3 linked regions of the Arabidopsis thaliana genome follow. The protein of the gene in region 2 interacts with the protein of the main gene of each other region in a pairwise test. Each region holds a gene or a part of one and is shown on either strand. Other genes may lie near its edges.

Region 1 (8,480 bases), on a different chromosome or scaffold from region 2:
TCTAACATCGACCGAGCTATAGCCGATTTATTTGCTTCCATGTAACTGATTGTGTGTCTTCATACCATAAGTTTATCACCAAATCAAAATAATAGGATCTCGCGTAACCAATTTCTCTAATTTAAGTAAATCATAAATTTCATAAACAAACTTGAAAATAATAAAAATTATGTACAGGTTCGAATTTTGAAACTTAAGATTGCGATAGATAGGCGTACAAATTTGAAGCTCCACCTCCAGAACCGATTCTCTTCTTAGAAGCTTCATCCATTTCCATATTAGATATAACTATTAAGTTAGTGTCCTATGTATTTTCAAAAACCTCATCAAATCTATTTGTCTCTCTCTCTCAAGCCTCAACTCACCACACACCAAACCAAAACACCAGAAACAAAAAGAAAAGCAAACTACAAATTCCTCATTTCTTCGATCGACAATTGGTAGAATGGTCGTAACCACTCAACCAATTTGAGACGAAACCGAAGACATTTTTTGTGTAAATAAGAAACACATACCACTGAAGAATAAATACTCATGGAGAATTCCAAAGCTGTTTAGTTCACAGGATCATGAGCTCCATTTGTTGTGTCTTTCTCAGTTTCTTGTGCGGCTGAGGACGAACCGTGTTCTGTGCTGACCATATCACTGCTTTGCTGTTCTCCTGCTGTATTGGAAATAGCCTTTTGTTTCAGATATGCTTCCAGAGGAAACGCTGCAGCTTGGAGAAGCCTCATCATGCTTACTCGGGAAGCCCCCGGGTCTGAGTTCAAGTCGATGTTTTCCCCTGCGGCTAGTTCAACCGCTGGAATGCTCTCCACTTCTGTCTCGTCCCTGCACTCTGACTGTGACTGCGCCTGCTGGCTTGCCTGTCCTGCCTCTCCTTTGTTCCGCTTCCGCAGCATGAGCGTCCTGAATCGTCTCTTCACTGCCTCGCACACAGTGCAAGTGCATGACGGCTTGTGTTTGCCTTTTCCGCTCGGTGGTTGGCTGCAGACGATGCACGAACACCCTGCCCGGTGTCTTGGATGCTTGGTCGTGGCTGCAACCGTGATTTCCCCCTGTTCACCGGTTGTGGTGATGCCTGCATTTCCTAAACTATTCAGAGCAGATGCATCCTGCGACTGGTTTAGCTTTTCGTTTGATGATGCCAGTCTCCTCCTTTTGAACTCTGTTGAGACGAAAGTTTCGTTATGTAAAGAAGGAAGTTTCTAATTATACAGACCAATAATAGCTGCGGATTTTACCTTTGCTCTGCCGGACAAGTGTATCCTGTTCTCTTGGAGAGAGTTCATCAGGTGCGGAACATGAAGACCTGACGATATAAACAGCAACTCAAATTATTCAGATGGCCAGTCTCAGTGAGTCAAAAATCTATAATTATCCCATATGTGTAGTCTAAGTTATTTCGGAAAAAAATGCGCAATGTTCTGTGGTAACTAGCCTAGGTTAAACACATGAACATGCAACCTCGTTTACCTGCCAGGATCCAAGAGATTATCAGAGCACGACCACTTTGGTGGAAGAAGAATATCCACCGGCAGCTGTCGCCATTTCCCACAAGCATCACACTGCACCCATTGCTCTTGTTCCCTGAGAATTCATGGATCACATATCAGAACCAAATAATCAGATGTTCATTACTTCAAATCTTTCGATCATTCCAAGGGTGCTTAATTCTTCTGATCCTATCATTACATAGTACATGAGGCCTCACCCTGTTTGACGTGAGACAAAAAGGGTCCTCTTCCCGAAAACTGGTGGTTCCTGGGTAGCAGCAAATACATGATTTCAGAAAATACAGTGAAAAGTTCCCAGCTGTTTTTGATAACTAAACAGTTAACAGTAACTCACGTCATATTCTTCAAAATCTTGATTTTCCAGCGTAAAGATGCTGGGTTTGGTGGATTGGGGAGGCCGCAACAGCTCCTGTGCCTCCTCCCAAGTTATTTTCAGTTCCAGAACATCTACGCTATCAATGAGCAGACGCTTGCTCTTAGTCCCAATGTTCCGAACCCGTTTCCTAGCAGAAGTTAAGGACGACTGAAGAAATAAGTTATCCTTTGCCATGTCCTCAGACTTCTCTAGTTTAGACCAATTGATGTCACCACATCCCGGATTCAAGCTGTTGGAAAACATGTTCAGATTGGGTTCACTGCTTCCCTTGAACATCTGAAGAAACACGGAAAAATATTTCACTGAAAGAATCAGTACGAGAGCACCAGAAAAGGATTCTTTAATTCAATACACTTCACAGTGGCAGTTACTTATGCCTAAGGGGGCAACTCTCAGCTTATTATGCATTTACCTGTGTCGCTGTAGAGTTCGTCGCTTTACGGTATCCCATTACGAGTTTTCCTTCAGGTTCTGTACGGCTGAATGTTACTGCAGAGAACATGGAAAATCCAAGACATCAGACCTAATAGAAAAGTACGGTCATCTCTTCGTGGAATGTATTTCACTGTCCTCATGATTGGAACGCTTTAGTGCCAATGTTTCATTTATCCATACCAGGGTGGGTTTATCAATATGTTATGAATGTAGTTAACGAAACAAAAGGATTTGAAAAGTACCAGTGTCACCAGCTTGCAACTGCATGGACTGTATGCAAGGAGTCACACCCTCCAAAACGTACATCCTGCTGTTATTATTAGGCCAAAACCTGAACTGGAACACCCATTCTTTCCCTTTTATGTCTTGTATCTTTAACGGGAGACCCTCGGGTAGAGATATAGGGGGGAAATATGCCTACATAGAAGCATAGACGGTTATAGCTGATACCTGGCATTTAGATAGCAATAGTTTGGGAATATCAAATAAGCGTACAGAGAAACAAGTTACCTCTGCACATGCTTTCGGAAGAACCAGTCGACCAATACGACCCGCATCGCTCGCACTCAGAACTTTTTCAAAGAGTGGTATAATTTTGGAATTTGAGCTAGGAAAATAAACAGTCAAGGACTCCTTAGCACAGAAAAATAGTGCATAATGGTAGAATAAAAGCAGAAACACGATATTATAACATACAGATGAGGATACTGTCCAGATAATTGCAGCAGCTCTTGGTCAGTAATCCTAGGCCAGTAACGGGGAAGCAATTGGGTCTTCCCGCGACCTTCTGGAGGAGGCCGAGCGACATGAATCTGTGACACCAGGCTCCCACTAGGCTCCATGCCAGCAGCAATGGGAGCTGAATTTGCAGGTTTTGGAAGCAGCTGCCTGGACCGAGGGGCCAGTTGGAAAATCGAATTAGTCTTACTTCTGTCATCAACAGCAGCATCATGAAATGGGCTTGTCATAAGCGTAGGTCCAAGTGAAATGCTCAAGTTTGGCTGTGCAGACAATTCTTTCCTTTCAGTTTTGTGTCTAAGAGCATCTAGGCTGGAAGGAAGCAGCGATTCTTCTTGTTTCATTTGAAGAGAAGAATGAGTGGGGTCGATTCTTTGAAAGTGAAGCAAGTGCTTGAGATTTGTCCTCTCAAGAACACTGCCTACATGCTCTGCTGAAGCAAATGAGGGGAAGTCCTTACCGTTAGATTCATGGCTCACATTCATCTGTAAGAGAGATTACATGAGTATAGTGACAGAGAAACCAAGACCAAGGAAGCATCCCTTGCAAGAAGTTAACTCATGGAGAGGAAATTGTCTTACAGAAATTAGTCCGGATTTCTTGGCGCAACTTATACAGGTAACACCACCATTCTCTAGAAGCTCCATCATAAATCTAGAAGCAATGCATCCACAGTGAAGACGCTGAAAAAAACGTAAATACGTATTAAGGAAAACAATTGAAATACGTTGAGTGCAAAAACATGTGTAGTAAGCCATGGATTTTCGTCACCTTGTCACATGAATTACACTCTCTCCAACCAGATTCCTTGGCATGGAACACTTCACAGAATATGGATTGCTCGTATGCACACCTATCAAAAACCAACATTCACAGAGTTTACTAATAAGTAATCATGAAATATAGATTCCCTTCACGTACCCACTCTTGTTCTAATTGTAAGCAAACCCACAGCACTAATCTATCGCAGAAGTGTTGCGAATATCGAACTGGTCGCAAAAGTATTCAAATTAGACACAAGAGTGAAGGCCCTTACCCACACTTATCGCAGAGAGAAGCTAAATCACCGGATCGCATAGGCCAGCCTTTTTTCCACTCGCCCGACGTAGAGGCCGCTCCGCACAGTGCGTTCATGCAAACCTTTATTGACTCCATAATTGACCAATTGAGCGGCTCGATTCAACTGTCAATAACTTCAAATGAAGCAAGAGCCTTATCGTATTCTCCGCACGATGGTGCTTTAATCCACCGCAACTTTCCTCTTTAATAAAGGCACAAGCATTAAAAATATGCAATGATTAAGAAAACTAATTGGTATCAGAAAAGTTAAACACTTACCAGAAAAGGCAGAAGAAGATGTCAAATATATTGTCGAGAAACTCAATACGCTCCTTCTGTGAAAGACTATATACAAATAAAAACATATAAGATGACGATATATAGAAGAAGATACCAACTGTTATAAAGTAATCAAAATCCGTAAATGAATGAATAGTTAAGGACATTTGATATTGACATCTAAAGATAAGATATCATTGCATCCTAAGGAAAAAAAAACGAAATTAAAGTTCACAAGAGACAAAGAAAATCAACAGACCTTTCGAAGAAACTTGTCCAAAAAAGAGAAACCACGAGTCACTTCCATCTCCTCAGTTTTCAACCAAACCAATTCTAAGCTTAGACATGTCCACACGAAACTTCTCAGTGGTGCAGTGGAGATGGAGCCTCTTAAATAATTGTGCCACTGTGATAAAAACGCACCATCGAAAAGTTGACTGATGAATGTATGGAAGTCCAAGAAGTCTACAATAGTGATAATGAGAATAATATCTTGACTGTGAAAAAGGATGAATTGATTCTGTAGACAAAACTAAGTGCAAACCTTAAATAGTCAAATTATTCAATTGAACGGAAATGATCCATCACCTATCTGAGCTACAGTAGGCTAACAACGATTCCACTACCTAGGCACAATTTCAAGGAAGATATAATTCTTATTAAACCGCTAAATAATCCAAAAACTTGCGAGTCAGCAAGATCTAATCTGAGGATACACATAACTTTTAATGCTATTGAAAGAAGAATATAGACTTGAAGAAAAAAATGTAATAAGCAGCTACATTAAGTAAACAAGTAAACTAAATGTAATACCTTAACAGAGATGACAGAAATGTATGCAGGTTTGTCTCCAGTAACAGGAGAAGATATTTGGCTGCAATTGGAAAATACAAAAATTAGGTGAATAACATGACATATTTGGCTGCAATTGGAAATTCATAAAGAACCAAGGACGACACTTTCTTAAGAAGCAATAAAATGATATATAAATCGAACTAGTTTCATTCTTCTTCAAATCTTTCAACTTTGGTTGACCCAAAAAACCACTGATTTCCAAGTAAAGCTTATAACTTTGTAAAAACACTGATGTAAAGGTTCAATTTTTACAATCCTAATTCCGAAATCTACGGTCTTTGAACAAAAAAAAACATGCATAAATCACCAAGTTTCTGAACACTAATGGCCGAGCAAGTAAATTTATCAGAGCATAATCACCGGAGAGGGTTAACCCTTACCTTGGTTTGTGTGGAGAGAGAGCCGATTGATTCGATCGGAAGAGAAGGGATAGTTTTCGACGGAGAAGTGAAGTTAAAAACCAAGTCAAAGTCGTCTTTACGTCGACCAAGTGAAGAAGATTTGAGCCAATTCAATTGCAGCAACAAGAGGTAGTGGCAAAGAGATTTAGAAATAACGAAGGAGTTGATGAATTGGTTTCTAAATAAAGAAGAAGAAGCCACAATGACTTAGAGCGAAAATCTCCATTACCAACAACAACAAAGGGCTCGTGGAGAAGACAACAAATCTGGAGCGTTAGATTACAAAAAAAAAAAAAATGAAACACAAAGAAACTGCTGACGTCAGCCTGACCTAAAACCCAGTATGCTTTATTTATTTATTATGGATGAGAGAATAATGTAAAGTTTACTCAAAGTGTGACATTTTATGTAATAAGATATTAATTAAAGTGCACGCAAAAGGTCATCTCTGTTTCGACCTCACCTAAGGTTTGCTTCTAGATTTATATACGTCTAAATTAGTATTTTGATTTCGATAATAATATTATTTAGTAAAGCATTGAATTTGAGAATGATGAAGTGGCTTGGTTTCTAGGGTTATAAGACAGGAACCCACGACGACCATCACCAACACATCAGCAGATCAGCTACTAGGTCCAACTCCAACTCTTTATTTTTGTTGGTTCAACAATTTACTGCAAAAGACTTAAAAAAATGTAGCCCAAATAATCATGTCAGGATAATGGACCGAAGATTGGTTGATGGGCCGTTTTAGATCAAAAAAATCATTCCACCTTTGGAAAAGATCTCTTTAGCATATTACTTTAAGGTTTGTTGCAAATGAAAAATAGTTGGAAAATATTTTAGACCCTTAAAAGTCTTATCCGATAGGTAAAGTATTTAAATCAGTTCATGGGTTGAGTTTCATAATTGAAACTAGGCATAGATTGGCCCTTTCCTTTCTCTTTAATAAATACTCGATTCATCCCTTTCTACTGTCTGTCTCAATATCTGTACATACCATTCATTGTAGCAATCACTATACGTACATGTTAATGTCTATGAAGTATGAACAATAATAAGAATTGGGTAAGAGAGTTATATATGTTGTTGATAAACAACAGTGAATTCAAAACTATATAATTTAGAGAGGGTTTGTATATCCCTTTTTTTCCTCTGTATGAGTAATGTGAGAACCAATTATTCGTTTATAGATGAATAATAAATTATCTTTCTGTTTATCGTACCGAGTTACCTACCATATTGCTTAGACTGGAAATGCTTTGTTGGTAAAAAGACATGATTGGTTGAAAAATAGATAAAAGCATGAATGGGATTCAAAAACTAACGATAATTAGGAAACTGGATTACCATGGTTGGTAGGCTAAACCCTAGCTATTCTAATCGCTATTACATTCTCACCTACTTTGCATAGTCATTAAATTTGCATATCCACGAATTCGTACTAATAGTTTCGCAGAAAATACACATGCAATCTTATGAATATTGCTTGATTTATTTAAGAAACAAACTTGTATGCAATTATTGGTATATAAATCAGTTATAACCGAGCCATTTGTCAATATGACTTTGACACATGGGTAAGTCTAAACAACTAATTCATACTCTAGTTATCAATTGTCTCTTGTAAATAATTTAGTACGTATTTTTTTAGTTAGTCTTATAGATGAGTAAATCACCCTTTTTAAAATTATTAGATTTTCGGTTAAATGTTTTGGATTCTAAACTCAAAATTAATTAGCAATATGTGATGAAAACCCTTGTAGTTATGTAATTGCATGAAACAAAAATGATTTCAAATGTTATTCATATGTACTAGATCTTCAAACATTAACACATGAACTAACATTTTGGAATTACATCGATATTCATTTAATTGGATCCAAAAGGTTTCAACTTCTCGTTCTGTTATTAGTTTTTGTTTCCTCTTTTTTGTTTTCTATTTATTTTCACATGTTCTAGCTTCTTAATTCTAAGCTAACTTGAGTAGCCTAATAAACTTGTGTCACATGATGAGGACATTTCTCAAATGGAACATTCAGACATTTACACTCCCATACGTTGATATCATGTTATTTGCTATATTAGTCTAATATTGTTGCCTTTCAGATTTCACATATGAAATATTCCTTGTTGTAACCAAGAACCATCTCTGTGTATTTTTACAAGCATAAAATAGTAGTTGACAATATAAAAATAACTATCTGATGATGCAACTCTAGTTAATATATCACGAATCACTGACTCCTATATAATGTGTAGATATACTGTATATGTATCGACACCAATTTTACATACATTACCGAAGTATTGATTGGTTCTTTCATTTGATAAAAGAGAGCATATAATTTCACTTTAATCACACTCATTATACATTTGCGAAAGTCTTTCATTCACAACCGTCGTTGCGTTTAGTTTGCTAATACTTTATGTTAGTGCCCGTTGAGTTTCTAAAAGTGTAGAAGTTTTTGTTGTTTATTTATATAGACTCTAGTTGCAAATGCTGCATAGAATTAGTTAGATCCATTCTCGTGAATCCTTAAGAGGATTATATGCTAGAATAAAAATATACTACTAAGAAGATATTTTATTGATAACATAATTGACCAAAGAGAAAAAACAAAACGGAAAGTCTTCTTATTTCTGTCGGTTTGACACAACTGGTCAACTTTTGCTGTCAGTAAAGTAAACTCTTCAAGTTACAAAGGCATATTTTAACTTGACCACTCTAAATTTTATTCTTCAGAAGTTTTAGTAGTGGCCCAAGTTACAAATTCGTGTTTTGAATAAATTGTTCTAATTTAAAATATAAGAAATTCA
Region 2 (4,404 bases):
ATTGATGAAACTGTATGGTAAAAGTTTGGTTTCTTTCATTGTGTAAGATGCAGACAAGCCGTACTACTAGTACTACATCTCCAACACTGTCGACCCAATCCATCACAGATTTTTTCAATCCCATCAATCCTCTATTGAATGCTACCACGAGAGCCGGTTTGATCCTCCAGAAAATCGCGGGACCGATCTCGAGAGGTCATTTAGAGCTTAGGAACACAAACCCGGATGATAATCCTTCAGTAAGGTTCAACTATTATCAAGAGCCAGAGGATCTACAGATATGTGTTGAAGGGATCAACACCATTATTAAAGTGATCAACTCCAAGGCATTCTCCAAATTCAAGTACCCGGACGCGACCATACATGGACTACTCGATCTAATGCTAAGCGTTCCTACCAATCTGAGGCCGCGGCATATAACCTCGATGTTCAATTTAAGGCAGTTTTGCATTGACACTGTGATGACAATTTGGCACTACCATGGAGGTTGCCAAGTTGGAAGAGTGGTTGACAAGAATTACAGAGTCTTAGGCATTGATTCCTTAAGGGTCATCGATGGATCCACATTTCTCAAGTCTCCGGGGACTAATCCTCAAGCTACTGTTATGATGCTCGGAAGGTAAATGCATAAACCAAATGATCCAAATAATCTAAAACATGTTAATGATTTGATTAAGAACTGATTGTGTCAGAGTGTTTTGTGTAGGTATATGGGCCAAAGGATTCTTCAAGAGAGGGAGATATACAACAAACCGGATAAAGAAGCGTGAGATATTACTTGTTTTGAGAAAATCTTGATCTTGGAATTGTTTTAATCAATGTATGATTAACTTAAAGAGTATGAATGTGTACATCTGTTCATGTTCTGTTTCTAATATGTATAATAATGGTGGAATTATGGTACTTGGGGCTTCTAGTTTTGCAGAATTTCGGAATATGAGTCTAGTATTATCCATAAGTTTCACTGATTTTTAGTTCCATTACAACATCAGAAAATTTATCATCCATAAGAGAGGAAAGCTTGCAAGTTACATACGTATTTGTCGATTTGTCTCTGGTCAGATTATCAATCACCACCAACTTGACGTTTCCATGAGTCTTCCACGATCAGTTCATCAACTCCCCATTCCTCGAAACTGTTTCAGGAATCATAAGTAAGTCACAAGAAAAGAAGAGATCAAGTGAGTGAAGAGAATAATATAAGCTCAATGCAATCTCTCACCTCCCATCAGGTAGATAGCGTCTAATAGTGAATGGTATCTTCCGCTGCCTAAGCTCCTTCATCGCAATCTGAATCCAAATCATAATAAATTAGCTCAAATGTTCATATAAGTTTACTGAGACATAACTTCAAAAACCAACAACAAGAAGGTAGGTAAGCACACCTCAAGTGGATCAGTCTCACCCTCTAGCTCAACCATGACAGGAGCATTCATGCTGTATCAGCCAAAAAACAACATTAAGACTCAAACTTTTCAAGCCAATTTAACATTAAAAAGATTGTTCTCAGTAGCAAGAACCATACCTAATCTGCAAAGCGCGAGTGCCGAGGATACGAGCACGCTCATACTTGGTCATAAACTTTGACGTTTTGCGTGGACGTTGCACAGGTTCTGTTTCGACTTTATCTTCAGCTTCAATAGGCTCACCATTGACATCATCATTCTCCTTCATTTCAACATCTTCCTCTACTCCTTCCTACACAAGAAAAAAAAAACCAATCAGAAACCGAAAGTTGTATAATAAGCAATAACCATGTCTCTTATACAAAGAAAAAATATTGAACTTACTTCAATCTCAGGCTCTGCTGGCTCATCCTCATATCTGCAATAGCCCAAATTTTCTTCAATTTACTCACAAGTTTCACTAGAAAAGCTCATAGAGTTTTAAAAAATAGCTTTTTCTCAATGAAATTAGGGTTTCTACTTTCTACCTTAAAATCGATTAGAATCAGTACTATACCGAACAAAATCGAAGCAACGTTTCATCGAAGAAACCCATCTATAAAAACTGCTAATTTAGACATTAACTAATCCAATTTACTCTAAATCGATTACGAATTCGTCGAGAAGAAGATAGAATCTTTTGAAATCCGAGCACGAATAATGAATAGATATGAAACCGAGAGAGAGGAAGAGAGAATAACCCCAAGTCATCGACGTCGTTGTAATCTTCGTCAGCCATTAATGTCGATTTTTGGTTTCGCTTTCTCCTTCTCTTTGCTCTGTATAAACCCTAACTCTCGTTGCAGAGTTCCGAACGACGCAGAATGAATCAATGAAGTTAAGAACTGAATAAAATTTAAATGATCCAGTTTATTTAACTATGCTTAGTAAACTTTATAATCGGACCATTTAATTTCAAGCCCAATTTAGGCCCACATAAGAATAACTCCACAACTGAATCAAATTTCCTTCTTTATTCCAAATAATCATGGAACATGTGATATATACTGATTATGTTAGAATTTTCTTTTCTTTGGACGATGATCACATATTCATATACTTGTCTGGTCTCATCTTTAGTTGGAGAAACGATCGAATAATCATAGAAAATACTTCTCGAAAAGCAACTCTCTCTCTCGAAGAATCCTTTGCCCCATGTACACCTACACATAACACTCAAGTCTCAACAAGACAATCACAACTCGAAGAATCATATGATCATTAAGTATGAGCGTTTTACCTTCCGAGCATCATGACCGTGGCTCGATGATTAGTCTCCGGAGACTTGAGAAATGTGGATCCATATCAATGGCCATTAAGGCATCAATACCTAAAACTTTGTAATTCTTGTCGACCAACTTGACAACCTCCATGGTAATGCCATATAGTCATCACAATGTGGATGCAAAACTGCGTCAAGTTGGACTTCGAGGACGCGTGTCATTTTAAGGTTTTAATTTTGTTTCACAAAAATTGTCATTTTTGTGTTTTCAATGGAATATTTAAAACCAAATCTCTTTTTTTTTTTTTTATCTCTATTATTTCACTTTATCATTTAGAAAGAGAAAGTATTATCTAGTGTATTAGTAACGGGTAGAAATAAAATTTGTTTACTTTTCTTCATTTGTGTGAAAATGTTAGAAGACAATAACACAACAAGTAATAATAGATGAGAAAACTTTTGTCTACTCTCTATTAAGAACCTTAGGCTTTTTGTTACTTTTCGTGGAAAGCCGCTCTTTGCCGAATAATTTCCTGCCCCATGTACCTACACATAGCACTTTCACAATGATTTTTATTCAAACATCATATCTTATTTATTGATGTTGTGATTATTTAGTTTTTGTGCTTACCTTCCAAGCATCATGACCGTGGCTTGAGGATTAGTCCCGGGAGACTTGAGAAATGTGGATCCATCGATGACCCTTAAGCCATCTATGCCTAAGACTTTGTAATTCTTGTCAACCACTTTTCCAACTTGGCAACCTCCATGGTAATGCCAAACACTCGTCACGGTGTCGATGCAAAACTGCTTCAAGTTGAACGCTGAGGTCACGTGCCTTGGCCTCAAATTGATGGGAAGGGCCAACATGAGATTGAGCAGTTCACGTGCCGTCACACCCGGATACTTGTACTTGGAGAAAGCTTTGGAATTTATCATTCTAATAATGGTGTTAAGCCCTTTAACACACTTGTTCAAATCCTCTGGTTCTTGATAGTAGTTGAATGTCACTGAAGGATTATCCCTTGGGTTCGTGTTCCGTAGCTTCATATGTCCTTTTGAGGCCGGTCCATCGACTTTTTGAAAGATCAAACCCCCATTCATCCTCACTTCCAATTTAACATCAAAAGATTTTAAAAGGACTGCAATGGATTGGGTCAGGATTTTCCTAGATGTAGTATGACTTGTCTGCATAATGCGTCATAGTTAGACAACATACAATCTCATAAGTCATAACTAAATAACCTTTAAATGTATTTATGTTATATACCTCGTTTAAAAGATTCAAAACACCATCGAAAAACCTACGAGTTATATCAAAAGAGAGACTCAAGCCACTTAGACCTTCAATGTAACTATCAAACTTTGTGATCCCAACAGCTTGTATGAGGGATAGTTCTACTGGTTGAGGAGAAGGAATGGCTACAAAGTTCATGGGATTATCAGCCATCCCCTGCCCAACCATGGGCTGATCTAGGACGAGTGGGTTCACGCCGTGAGCCTCAAGATGGACGGCAGGACCTACTCCACTCAACATTAATAGTTGTGGGCTACCCAGGGCTCCAGCTGACAAGATCACTTCGTTCGTTGCCTTATTTGCTAGATTTGCCTTGTGGAACACTCCATTTGCATCCTCAAATAGCACTTCATACGCTTTTGGCTTCTAGTTACCTGTTTTTTTTTTTAATGTTCATTTTTGCAGCAAGTAGTTTTAGCAAACAATCATTCATAAAGTAA
Region 3 (4,584 bases), on a different chromosome or scaffold from region 2:
AATGCTCTGAGACTCTAAAGGTGTAGTGTTTGCATGTTGTTGAAGCTCATCAGGAATGGTATTAGAGTAGCTAAACCGCTTCTTTGGTTCGGAAACTTACTCCAAGGCTTTATCAAAAATGTAATTGGGTTCGGCTGGCTGATTGAATGTGGGTCCAGACCTAGCCAGGGTACTTGATAAAAATCATCACCACTCTCTGGTTTAGTTGTCACTTGTCAACCACGTTTTTTACATTTTGTGCTTCTCATTGGTTGAGGACCATTATTTGGCTTAGTTTAGTTTAGTTTAGTTTAGTTTAGTTGATGGTGATGAATTTATTATAACTTATATTGGATTCATCGCTGGATCATCGATAATACCAATGGTGCTTCTTAGGTAATGGTTTTTTTTTTTTTAAGATATATCGGTTTAAATTTATTAGCTAAGAACCAGTATCTGTAAAATCAAGATCGCGCACTACAAGAAATTGCTACGGCCAAACAAAACCAATTTCTGACGAGCATTCACATCTTCTCTTCTTTTTAAATTTTGGGCTTAGAAACCACAATTGCTTCCATGCATGGAGCAATTGAGGATCACATTAATACATTAGTTTGAGAACTCCAAATCTATTAGGACCGGAAAACCATAGCATAATCACTTTTTTTTGTGCGAAAAACCATAGCATAATCACATGGCTACTTAAATACTATATTTTTTGTCGGTTAGCCATTACTGTTCTGTTAGTGAATTATAAGAGTTTTAAATGTGATTTATATAGTAAATTCATTGTGCATAGAAAAAAAGGGAATATGCGACTACCATTAGAACAACAACATAGACTTTCTTTAATCTAGCCATCCACTAAACAAGTTACAGTACAAGACATCACCATAGATTTAAAATTACATTAAAAGGGAGAGAAAAAAGAAATCATAATATATGTATGTATAACATGATACGAACATTTAGCATATGTCCTGATCTGTATTTTAACTAACCAAAAGTAATAGAACGATAAATAGAAAGAGGACTAATATAGGAAACGTAAACGACTTTTATTCATGTGGGTCACAAAGGAAGATATATAAGTCTTTAACTAAAACAAATCAAAACTCAGAAATGTCGGACATTTCTCCAATTATACAACTACTACTAGTGAGATGGTCAAACCAAAACTCCATGTCATGGTTATATCCCTTATCGTTTCTATCTAGTGAGCCCTCCCAATTCTCTATCTTTTTCTCATTCTTCTCATTTCCTGAAATGTCACAGTCCATCAATACCACTTCTGACCAAAAGCTCTCATCTATAATTGCAAGAACATCTTCGGATGACGTCGCGGAGTCTTTGTTGCTATTGGAGATGTCATTGTTGTTTCCCAATGTTGTAATTGCTGAAATGTCGGCACTACTACTAGATTGTTGTTGCGGAGAGGTTGGCATCTCCGCAGCTGTAGTAGAGACGAAATCTTCCTTGTTGTTTTGATCTTGACTGTGGTGGAGTCTTTTCTTTAAATGAGTGTGCCAAACATTTTTAATTTCGTTGTCTGTTCGTCCAGGCAATTTTGCAGCTATCGCAGACCATCTACTCAAAACAAATGTCACATGAATGACTCATCAATCATCATAATACGTCGTCTACATTGTTATGAGAACAAAGAGCGAGTAAAACAAAAGGAAAGTTATTGAAGTTCATGCGTATGGTTAAAAGAATTTGCACATGTCTTACACTGATCACAGTGCCTATCTTTGTCTACTAGTGAATAAAAAGTATAATTAGAGGAAAGTAAAAAATTGAAATTATTTAATGGACAAAGGCAATCACGGGTTGGAATCTTCTCAGTTCTCTGCCCCACAAAGATATAAAATTTCGCATATTGACAAAAGCAACACATATACAAAGAGAAAATTGTGAAGTAATCTAGCTAGCTAGTCTCCACAGTTAAAACAAACTAAACTTCCAAAATAATGATACTTTTCACAATTTGATGTCCCAAAATCCTTCATCTACAAATGAACATTATATCATTTTCACTGTAATATATATGGAGTTATGGACTAAACAGAAATTGCATTGACTTACTTTAAAAGAAAGAAAAAAACTTGTGATTTGACTTCTCAAAGATTAAAAATAAAGAAAAATTTGTGAGTGATTTCTCAAATTCTTGTTTAATTTCTGGTTTCAAAGAATATAGGACCAAAAAATCTAAAATTTCGCATATAATCAAAGGAAGAAGTAAAAAAACAGAAAATGGAAAAGGAGGAGAAACCTGTTGCCTAAGAGTTGATGTAAGCTGATGATAGTATCTTCTTCATGAGGAGTGAAATTGCCACGTTTGATGTCTGGTCTCAAATAATTAATCCAACGAAGCCTGCAACTTTTTCCGCACCGAAGTAGCCCTAATCATTTCACAAACACCATTATTAACTTTACACAACAAATATACACTACTATATACTATAGAACAATAATACACATGCTAGCTAGGTACAAAATTATTTTGTTACTAATATATACATATGGCAAATAGCAAATATAAAATGGCTTATTTACCGGCTAGTTTAGGGAGAGCTCTCCAATTGGGATGGCCATGGAGACTAATATAATTGATCAAGATTCGATCTTCTTCAGCACTCCATGGCCCTTTCTTCAATCCTATCTTCTCACAGCATGGTCTTCTCCCCATCTTTTTCTTCCTTGTCAAAAACTAATTTAAACGAGGAGAGAAAGAAGAAATGGAAGAAGCTAAGGTTTCTATTCGTGAAAGCAAAGGAAGCCAAATGTTGGAAGTAACTAGTAAGTGTACGATGGCTAAGTGTGTTACTATATTTATAGAGAGAGATATAATTAATTGGGACCGTAGGAAAATGACAAGCTGGAAATTATTTTTCTACTTTTGGTACACAAAGGCCAAAGTTTTCCCAACTTCTTTTCCTTTACCTTTTTCAAAGAATAGTTATCTTAATTTTTTCATAAGTCTTACCGAGGAAATGCTAAGGCCACGATCTATCAGCTATTGTGATGATTTGATTTTAATAAGCAATGAAGGTGAATTTAGTTTTGTAGTAACGGTATGCGATTATCAATGAGTGTCGAGTGGTTTAGTGTAAACTGATATGACTTGTATATATAACTAGATCATGGAACTAATAGTATAGAGAAACTTTATACAAATAGTTGACAATGTTATACTTCAAACCACACGAATACCTGACAACTACAGAGCACGGCTGTGATTGAGACTATTCATTTATATAACCATAAATGTGTACGAGTAACAGCCACATATTTTTATGTTTTACATCAAATATATGTAAGCTTCAATCTGACCGTAGTTTAAAATTCAATAGAATGGCTAAGACACAAAATTTGAAATTTTATATCGAACACTAGGTTTAATCTTATCACACTTCCCATGAGGGACGCATACCATAAATTTATCAAATAATGGACCACACCAAGAATTATACTAGCAATGTTATCATCGACACATCTCATTTTATAATCGATGACTCGGCTTCACGGCTGTGTAGGCATCGCCATCGCCACACATTCCTTTCGCTCACCGGGTCTTATTCTTTTTCTCAAGATTTTCGTAATCTGAATAAAAAAATAAAAATAAAAACTTCACGAGGATAGAAAATGAAAAGAGAAAACATACAATCTATATAATCTTTCCAAGTGGCCGAAGAAAAGGGTGATGAATCCTCTCGTCAATAAGATCAGTAGGCCCAAAAGAGATATTTCAAATTGAGTCGCATCTGTCGGGTAAGTTAAAGCAATAAATAACCAGCCACAGGTAGGGTTTAGGCCCTCTCATCTGGCTCTAGATGACGAAACGTGTTAAAACGCCTACTTCTTGTTGAGGCCCAAAATAAGCCTCATAGGAGAGAAACCAAAAACGTAACTGTCACGATTACGAAACACCCCTTAATTCCATTTTGCAAATGCATCCCCTCCTCACCTTTGTTTGAGATGTTTTTATATACAGCTCAGCTCGATAACCTAACTCGACACCCTCTAAACAAAAAGTTACAAAACGAATATAATAATGTCTTCGGCTGATCCGGTTTAACTGAATCCCAATTCCCAAATTGTAACATACATAACATGAACTTAACCGGACAAAACTGGTTAGCAGAAATTTTCAAGTGAGTTTACGGAAACACCCTTTTCCGCATAGCTTTTGTGTCACGTGGGACCCAGCTAATATTCTTCACAAAAAATCCGCTACCTTGCCTTGGAAACATATTTTGCATGACCCAACAAACATGAAATTAAGAAATACTTTACTTTACAAGGAAATAATACAAATAAAGCCTTTTTATCTTATTTATAATATCATCGATCATTGTATATCAGAATTCAGAAGTCCTAGATAAAATGTTAAAAGTTGAATCTTGTTTGACCTAATAGAAAAGATTCCACTGACAAATTTCTATGTCTATGACTATGATCAATTTTATTTCCTCTATATGTAAAAAAAAACTCAACTTCACATAATATTTTTTGAATGTATCGTTTCTTATTTATTTTTTAAAAAACTCTGCTATTTTTCCAAAAGACAATGCGAAAAAATCTTTGAACGTGAAAGTGAAATTA

Evidence for each region.
Region 1: the proteins of NRPB6A (region 2) and HSL1 interact in binary tests that used the Arabidopsis thaliana proteins (3 or more experiments, as listed by UniProt).
Region 3: the proteins of NRPB6A (region 2) and MYB13 interact in binary tests that used the Arabidopsis thaliana proteins (3 or more experiments, as listed by UniProt).

The regions. Positions count from the first base shown.
Region 1 is NC_003075.7:15,476,972-15,485,451, reverse strand, and holds HSL1 (HSI2-like 1), read right to left. Parts: upstream 6,074-8,480; 5' UTR 5,640-6,073; intron 5,279-5,639; 5' UTR 5,218-5,278; intron 4,958-5,217; exon of another isoform or gene 4,811-4,957; 5' UTR 4,664-4,810; intron 4,471-4,663; 5' UTR 4,405-4,470; intron 4,328-4,404; 5' UTR 4,222-4,327; coding exon 4,103-4,221; intron 3,920-4,102; coding exon 3,838-3,919; intron 3,750-3,837; coding exon 3,648-3,749; intron 3,552-3,647; coding exon 3,025-3,551; intron 2,936-3,024; coding exon 2,839-2,935; intron 2,746-2,838; coding exon 2,571-2,745; intron 2,383-2,570; coding exon 2,306-2,382; intron 2,170-2,305; coding exon 1,852-2,169; intron 1,765-1,851; coding exon 1,715-1,764; intron 1,591-1,714; coding exon 1,477-1,590; intron 1,313-1,476; coding exon 1,245-1,312; intron 1,169-1,244; coding exon 555-1,168; 3' UTR 98-554; downstream 1-97. UniProt on the Arabidopsis thaliana protein: Transcriptional repressor of gene expression involved in embryonic pathways, such as LEC1, ABI3, and FUS3. Repressor of the sugar-inducible genes involved in the seed maturation program in seedlings.
Region 2 is NC_003076.8:21,102,459-21,106,862, reverse strand, and holds NRPB6A (RNA polymerase Rpb6), read right to left. Parts: upstream 2,313-4,404; 5' UTR 2,185-2,312; coding exon 2,147-2,184; intron 1,825-2,146; coding exon 1,791-1,824; intron 1,699-1,790; coding exon 1,526-1,698; intron 1,438-1,525; coding exon 1,386-1,437; intron 1,291-1,385; coding exon 1,223-1,290; intron 1,137-1,222; coding exon 1,067-1,136; 3' UTR 916-1,066; downstream 1-915. Other genes in the region: AT5G51950 (Glucose-methanol-choline (GMC) oxidoreductase family protein), read left to right, coding at 48-619, 707-770; AT5G51930 (Glucose-methanol-choline (GMC) oxidoreductase family protein), read right to left, coding at 3,295-3,855, 3,938-4,320.
Region 3 is NC_003070.9:1,887,594-1,892,177, reverse strand, and holds MYB13 (myb domain protein 13), read right to left. Parts: upstream 2,817-4,584; 5' UTR 2,669-2,816; coding exon 2,536-2,668; intron 2,382-2,535; coding exon 2,252-2,381; intron 1,567-2,251; coding exon 1,089-1,566; 3' UTR 902-1,088; downstream 1-901. UniProt on the Arabidopsis thaliana protein: Plays a regulatory role in meristem function. Functions as component of a regulatory network controlling the establishment and/or development of the shoot system by the regulation of apical meristem function. May play a role in tolerance to boric acid.